Linked DNA regions of Oryzias latipes. The protein of the gene in region 2 interacts with the protein of the main gene of each other region in a pairwise test. Links are inferred from orthologs where the notes say so. Each region holds a gene or a part of one and is shown on either strand. Other genes may lie near its edges. The genes, in order: tmem30a and atp10b.

The links.
Region 1: the proteins of atp10b (region 2) and tmem30a interact in a protein complementation assay, tested with the Homo sapiens proteins (2 studies listed by IntAct, with this or other methods). The link is inferred for Oryzias latipes from reciprocal best matches to the Homo sapiens genes ATP10B and TMEM30A.

The regions. Positions count from the first base shown.
Region 1 is NC_019880.2:15,986,450-15,990,973, forward strand, and holds the start of tmem30a (cell cycle control protein 50A), read right to left. Parts: upstream 2,956-4,524; 5' UTR 2,729-2,955; coding exon 2,480-2,728; intron 1,913-2,479; coding exon 1,793-1,912; intron 1-1,792. UniProt on the Homo sapiens protein: Accessory component of a P4-ATPase flippase complex which catalyzes the hydrolysis of ATP coupled to the transport of aminophospholipids from the outer to the inner leaflet of various membranes and ensures the maintenance of asymmetric distribution of phospholipids.
Region 2 is NC_019868.2:17,520,793-17,524,616, reverse strand, and holds part of atp10b (probable phospholipid-transporting ATPase VB), read left to right. Parts: coding exon 1-26; intron 27-114; coding exon 115-241; intron 242-1,529; coding exon 1,530-1,714; intron 1,715-3,824. UniProt on the Homo sapiens protein: Catalytic component of a P4-ATPase flippase complex, which catalyzes the hydrolysis of ATP coupled to the transport of glucosylceramide (GlcCer) from the outer to the inner leaflet of lysosome membranes.

The DNA.
Region 1 (4,524 bases), on a different chromosome or scaffold from region 2:
TTTCTGTTCATTAAACAAAGCTAATGTTGTTAGCATGTGTTAGCCTCTCCTAACCCTGGCTTCTTCCAGCTCCGTTCTTCAACAGATAAAGCACTGACCACACGGATTTCAATTAAAATGAGCGAACAGGGGCTTCATAATAACCGTAATATTAATGAAAGCATGTTTAGAAGATCATCTAGTACATTACGGAGCTGCCAGATATCTATGTATGTAGCCTCTCAGCGGAACTCATTTCCTTTTCCAGCATTTCAAACACTACTGCACATGTGCGAAGGATTTATTCTGACCTAAAGTGTGACCATTAATGTTTGTTATAATCAGAAAGGTTATTCTGGGCCCACGTACACGGTTGAAGTCTAATCCGACCATTGATCCGATCAAGATATTTTGCACATGTAACCGCGGCTTTTGCCGTCGACTTGCAGCGTGGCGGAGGCGTGGCATCATGGTGTCTCTCCATCGTGATGTCAGTCAGCCATCACGATGGTATCGTGTCCAAAGGGCTCTTTTAGCGATAAAGTTCACAAAGATTTGAATAAAGAAATACTCCAAAATGCAATTTTGAACTTAATTTTCTTAATACCTGTCCTCCAAATACATGTTAAAGATGAAAACAACTTTCAGAGTGAATCTTTACAGACTTTCCACAGCCACGTAAACTATCCTATAAAGTACAACAGCAGGGCCCGCTGGAGACCGCACTGCCTGAAAGTACAGCACTCAGAAAAGAGGAGAGAATCTGTCGATGGCCTTTTGGCACTCCACCGCTCTCCTGTCCGCTGCAGAGCATGCTCCGCTAAGAGGCATCAGCTCTGCTCAGGCAGCCATTAAAAGGCCACAAAGAATCCCAACCACTTCAATAACTGGCAGACGGTACAGAAATAAAGACAATTAGATGATCAAAGCACAGGATTTTTTTTAGCTTTATGTTTAGAAAGGAAACAGCTGACTCATTTTAATTCATCTTAATTACAACACCGCACAGATTTGACTTGGAATATGTACACTTTTGTGCCCCCCCCCCCACTCCCAATAACTGTTTACTGCACTGAAATATAGATAAAAATATAGATAAATATAAATAAAATATAGATAAATATAGATCTTGTTGAGTAGAAATGTCTTTTGTAAAACTAGAAGAAGAAAAAAGTCAATCACTTCCTTAGCTGTCAGATTTTTTTTGTTCCACTTGTTTTGCAAAAGCAAATAGATGCAAAAAATGCTGACATGCAAATACATGACAACTCTGCAGGAGTTGTGTCAATGAGCTGCTGTTTAAAAACAGGAAGAAGATGTCTTGAAAAGTTAAAAAAAAGGAGCATTTTGATCATTAAAAATATATATTTCATTTTATTAACTATTATTATAATAAATTATTTTAGCAAAAAGTTATAGAAAAAGGTCTTCCACACACTTTTTTTCCTGATTCACCGCAGACAGCGGTCAATGCTAAGCTAATTTCAAATGATTTGGGCTTTTATTTTCACAGCAAAAAAAAAAAAAAAAAAAGAATGGTTTCCAAAGTGTATTTATTTGAGTGCATCTTCCTGGCAGGTGTAAAAAAAAATCAAACAGCTTTAAAGCTTTTTTTGAAAGATCAATAGAGATTTGCTAAAAACCCAGAATGCATAATTTATAAGAACATCATTCAACGACAACCTTCTAGTTTGGACCTTAAATAGATCCAAATGGGTACTTTGTGTCTGGGACACACGGTGATACGGCTGAAGACATGAATAATTCATTTGATGAATAAAGCTCATTTAGTAACAAAATAACCAGAACTAACCTCAAAGGGTTGGTCCAAAGTGAAGTTCACAGAACAGACGCATGATGTTGTGCTGTTCCAGCTGAAGTTCTTAGCACATATGTAACATGGACTATCAATCTCGACACCAGTGTAGTCAATCTAAACAAAAACAAGAGAACAATCTTTAATGACAAGACAAGAGAACAAAATTGTGCTGGAACTTTTAATAGACTTCTTATCAAGCACATAGCATGTTTCAGTCATGACTGTCAAGAATCCATTGGGACACAATGTGATTGATGTAATCAAAACATATTACATTTTACACACATTATAATATATATATATATATATATATATATATATATATATATATAGACACCTACGTGTCAATTAACCTCCTTTTTTCAACAGTCTATAAGCCTTTTATACCACTGCATACTTGAACACTTCCACATTACTGGATACAAAGTTACCCACAATGCATTGCAAAATATCAAGACAGCAGAAGCTCACCAAAATAATTTATGTTTATGACCCCAAATTGTTCAAATAATGTGAATGTGAGGTTTTTTTTTTACTTTAAAAACAAATGTGACAACATTTAATTAATGCGACACAATTAGCTGCTCTTCTTTGAAAGTGTTGACAGCTGAAGTACTGGTTGCATTTGGAATGATTGACATGTAGATCTTTTAACGATCCAACTCGACTAGGAAACGGTACCTCGAACTCTTTGATGTTGTTTGAAGTCACAAACAGCCCGATGCCGATGGGGATGAAGATGAGGCCGATGACGAAGAACGCCGGCAGTACGGTGCCCGCCGTCAGAATCGGCTGCCAAGCGGGTAGCCTTTGCTGTTTGAATGCTGTATTGTCCGGTTTTTTGCTTTTGATTGCTCCTGGTCCACCGTGACTCGAAGAGCCAGAGTGGTGGCCGTCCTCTTCCTTAGCGTTGTAGCTTGACGCCATCATGGTTCGCTAACCGCTTCGAGCAAAACAATCCCGACACTTGGCAGCTGGGAGCTAGGCGGGGATCTCGGACGCGAAGAAAAAAGTGGAACAAGAACCTAAGAAGTCTTCCGGTAACTGAACTTATCCCCCCGTCTAGTCAAAGTGCCGACTCATATTTGTATCGATCTGACAACTTTCGTTAATCCTGGCTGGGAAGAAACCGGAAGCTGCTGGCCCAATAGAACGGCGCTACGTGGCAGTGACGTCACCGGAGAATGTTTGGTGTAGCCGAGAGGAGCACTCTAGAGCAGGGGTGTCAAACTCAATGAGTTATAACGCTAGAGGAGACACGCCCGCTTGGGAAGCCTGGCCGACGGTGGTGGAGCGCGACGCCATCTTGGTGAGGTCGACGGCGCCCACATTCTATAGCCTTTGGTGGCATCTAAGTAGCTTATATATAATTTATATATATATTTATGTTTATATATATTTATACATTTATATAAATATATAATATATATGTATATCATTTATATACATACATAAAATAATTTGTTGTTGTTAAATAAGAGAAACAGGCAGCATTAAAAGCTCAAACTTTAATGAAAAATGCACAGTAGCAGGACTTCTTACAAAAAACAATTACAAAGAATTTTTAAAAATAATTTTAAAGCATGTACTAGAAGTTTTAGACCTCTTTGACATGTAATTTTCAATTCTTTAGAAAAGCCCAACAATAAGTCAATAATAATAATAAATAATAACAGTATATTCATAATAAGTCAATAATTATAATAATAATAATAATAAATCAATTATAAATAATAATAAATTAATCCTGCATGGTTTCTTTTTCATTCTGAAACATTCCTGGGAAACAGCAGCTGGTCTTGGAGGATTGGTGACCTCTTTTGCTTCAGGCTGTAGGTGGACCTCCACTGCTGGTGGCTCTTCAGGGTTGGTGGTGTGAGTGTCAGCAGTGGGCTGCACCCTCCCCATCGTGAAGAATGGATGTTGTAGTGCTTCACTTGGAGAGATGCGTTTGCTTGGATCCACCATTAGCATCCGCTTGAGCAGGTCCACTAACTGTTCCACTTCTTTGATTTTTGTTTTGTCCAAACAGCTGTGGATGAGTTGGTCACAGGACAAGAACTGAATGTCGTCTTCGACCAGTCTCCCTTTTTTCCTGCTTTGCTGTTGGGGTGTGTCCAGCTTCCAGACATCCTGAGAGTTTTCTTTGGTCTTGGTAAAAAACCTTGTGGTGTAAAACCCTTGGTTTAGAACTTTTTCCTCGGGCATGCCTTGCATCTTCACCATGGCTCGGATGATGTTATAATCGGTGTCCCATCCATAAATAAAGGTCCCCGTGTACAGCACAAAGAGAATGTAGCCAACTGTCCACAAATCTACATGTTGGTCTAAGGGCAGACCCAGGATGACTTCAGTTGCCCTGTAGCAAATGTTCTGTATCGTAGCTCCACTACGCATATGTCTAATTTTCTCTGCCAAACCAAAATCTATGAGTTTGACCCTGAAAGGGTCTGAAACTTGATCCACCAGCATGATGTTCAATCAATCAATCAATCAATCAATCAATCAATCTTTATTTATATAGCACTTTAACATCTGCCAGACATCCAAAGTGCTGCACAAGTATAAATACACTAAAACCAAAGGTAAAATTCAAAGAAGCAAAGTAAAACGATAGCAATAAAATCATCAATAAATGAAAACACTAAAAAAAAAAGCTGCCTAATTATCATTCTCCCTGGTGTTAAAAGCTAATGTAAAAAGATGAGTTTTTGGCAGAGATTTAA
Region 2 (3,824 bases):
TCCGAACATTGTGCATCACAAAGAAGGTACAAAATCCTGCATCATAAAGCTGAACAGCATATTTCTTTTATTTGGGCTTGTGTTGTGATTCATTTTTTTCCACCTGTGTTGCAGATTGTAAGCAGCAGAGAGTATCAAAGCTGGTTGGCAGACAGAAAGAGAGCTCTTGCAGCTATAGACGGCAGAGAGGAGCTTATGATGGCCAGTGCTGTGCAGTTGGAGACAGAACTCACCCTGCTAGGTAAATCAGACACTTTTTTCCCCAACACAACTAACTCTGCAACCAGGACACACAAAGTAAACCTTCTTTAGGTTTAAATACCCACTTTGAAGAAAATTGTGCTTTTGCTGTTTTTAACATGATGATTAACAGATGGATAAAGGGAAAGCGGGGCGGTTTAACTCTGCACAAACAGTCCCGTCAACAACTCTGAGGTGAATTTCGAAACTATGTCCTAGAAAATGACAGTTTTTTAAAATTTTGGCTAAAAATGGCATAACTAAATTTAAAAGACCACTAGGGACACTTTTACAAGAGATCGAAATTGGCAGATACTTTGTTGTTTTGGAGCTTTAAAGTTTTGCATTAACTCAATTCCATCAAGAAAAGATGCTGCACATCAATTCAGAAAGAATCATGAAAAAACTTCTGAACTGTTCAAATATCCTTTTTTTCATGAAAGATTTCATGATTAAAAAAAACTGTTAAAGACCAGCTTTGAGCAGCCCTGCAAAATGACTCAGAACAAACCATATTCAGAGAAGTTAAAACAAAGCTACCTCCATCCATCCATCCATCCATTTGTAATCTATCCATTCGTCCATCTTCAGATCAGGCTGAATCCCTTTTGAAGACACATGCTTGCTGGTTACTGTTGGGCGAAAGGAGGGTACGCTGTGACCAAGTTGCCAGTCTATTGCAGGGTCACACTATCACAAACACATCTAGGGGCAATTTAGAGTCACCAATTAATCTACAAAGCCTTAGTGTTTGGAGAAAACCCACGCATGCACAGGGAGAACGTGCAAACTCCACACAGAAAGGCAACGGCTGGGATTCAACAAGGGACTTCTCCAAGGCGAAACCACTGCTCTACCTAGCCAACAAAACTACTTCTGAAACCTAAAGATTAGTTAAAGCTTCAGATAACTCTTAGAACCTTAACCTCCACAGAAGGAACGTTAAAACAAGCAACCACCTCTTGTTTCGATAAATTGACAATACAAAGACTCAGTCTTTAAAAATAGAACATTGCAGTGATGATTATGTATGCAGTGCTGCATCTGAACCTAAACAAAGTCTCACCAGGTTTAGCTTCAAGCAAATGCAGCATATAAATCTGATTAGTTCACAGAAAACGGTTTTGCACATGACGATTTCCAGTAATTTTGGTTGTCCAAGATTTTACTTTTCAAACTTGTTAAAAACCGGATTGTGCTCCATTTTAACATCCTACAAATACAAGTTTACTATGTTCCATTAAATGACCTTATTGAGGAAATAAAATGGGATTTTTCACCTTCATCAGGAGCAACAGGTATCGAGGATCGCCTGCAAGAAAGCGTCCCAGACACCATCACAGCTCTGCGGGAAGCAGGGATCAAAGTGTGGGTGCTGACAGGTGACAAGCCAGAGACTGCTCTCAACATCGGCTACGCCTGCAGGTTAATGGAGGAGGGAGACCTGGTGATTAACATGAGCTGCAAAAACAAGGTGGGGACGCTCACTTATTGTTGGGCATGGTGTGTTTTAACAAAAAAAGGAGAAACTTTTCCAGTCTTGAAGTACTGAATGTGGGCTAAAGGGGAGTTGGATTTTACCTTCAAGTGAAGACTACTCAAGCTCTCCTGTCCTAATATGGTGAAACAATATAAAACCTAAAAAAGAAGCTCATCTGTTTTGCTCAGAACCAAACCAATGCAAATCATCTCTCTGCTGAGATTACTGACTGCAGATCCTTAACAAGGCAGATGTGACATATGTTCCTAACATTTAAGGATTCTTTGAATTATCTTTTAAGGTATTTTTACAAAACACAGATCATCTTTCTTTTTATTCAGTTTTGTGAAAAGATTAAAAAAAAAAAAATTTAAAAACTAATAATTGGACTAAAAGTGGATTTGGGGTTCAACATATCCTTACATGGACAGTCAATGTATTGTTGGTCACATGGATGCTCAATTAAAAAAAAAAAAATCAATTAAAATATAACCGTTATTTGAATGGAAAGTGTTACTTTAACTCTGGAAACACACCAAGAAAACTGACAAGTACAAGTTAGGGGAATTGAAACTTGTTTCTGTCAGGTTTTCTCCTTCTGGATTTGCATTCAAAAAACAATAAATGAAATCTAACATCCAATTAAAGACGGGAATATTTTATAATATTTGTGAAAAAGGAAAGCTCTGATTAGCAACTGAAAAGACTCATTAAAAGATGTTAAAATATTCATGATCAAGGCTAAAATAACAAACCAAATAATAAGTAATGCTACAAAAATATTTCTCCTATAAGATTTGATTTTGGCCAAAGATTGATCAAGAATTTAGTTAAAATTACATGTGAATTGATTCTATTTTGCGAAATAGCTTGAACTAATTTCAAACAAAAAACAGCAAACACATTTAGAAACTGTCACCATAGAAAAGTTGAAAATTAAGTCAGAGTTTAGCCTTTTTGAAGACATTACCGTAAATGAAAATAGTTGAAATGTCACTTCTATGTCTTCTCATTTAAGAAAGCAATGCTGTCTTTTCCTGGTGGTCTTTGGTGAAAAGCGGTGTGCTTTCCGAGCATCTACCTTCTAATTTAAAGGACTGAAACCTTTCGAACCACTTTTCACAATTTAACTAAAGGTCAAACGCTCACATTTCCATCAGGGGAAGATGAAAAATGTTCGTTGGGGGACCTGCCTCTCTGAGGTCATTAAAGATCTGGTAGCGCCGGAGCAAGGTTTTCATAAAAACCCGACTGTGTCTACTCATCCTGACGTCAAATGGCTGCCAGCTCTGACGGATACCCCAATAAGTTTTTGAAATGAGGGGGCCGCTGCGCATCCTTTAGAGGCACAGTGACTGATGATGAATGGAGTTAGATGCCCCCAACCCAATAACTAGTGCTTTCATATCTAATTACCAGTGTAATATTTAGATCTCACAGGAAATTTACTTTAATGAACAGGATTTTTAACAACCTTAGCTGATAACCACTTGTGACATTTACTTATAAGCACTGCCCCACTAAGTGTAATGAAATTTAGCCAGGACTGAGCTGCTTGTAGGAGAAAGTATAAACATGGATCTTCCTTTTTTTCAATTTAATTTCCTTGTAACCCAGTTTGAAGCCGTTTAGCATCAACAATAAATCTGATGGGCCTGCTTCTGCAAAAGATAGAGAAATCTTTGGACTCTTAGACCTGCAAGACAAAAAAAAGATGCAAATATTGAACTTTTACATTTTATCATAACATTTTTTTATTAAGAAGAACTTTTAGCTGATTTTTTTTTTTTTTTTACTGAGTATGTTTTATTAGGTTTTACCTGCTTTAGGCATCCCGTGCTATTTTGTGTTTTTTCTTTGGTTTCATTTTGTTTTAACATTGTGAAGCACCTTGTAAGTTGCTTTCTGAGGGAAGTGCTATATAAAAGAAGTTCTTTCTTACACTCTTGTGCAAATTTATTTATAAAGTTCACATTACTTATTACTGGGGGGAAAAAACAGATTTTTTACATCTTATTTTAGGTTTCAACATTAAAACTAAAAGTGGAACATCTTGGAAGTTTTCTTTAACTTTAGGGGGGACAAACGTTTGTTGTGTTACTTC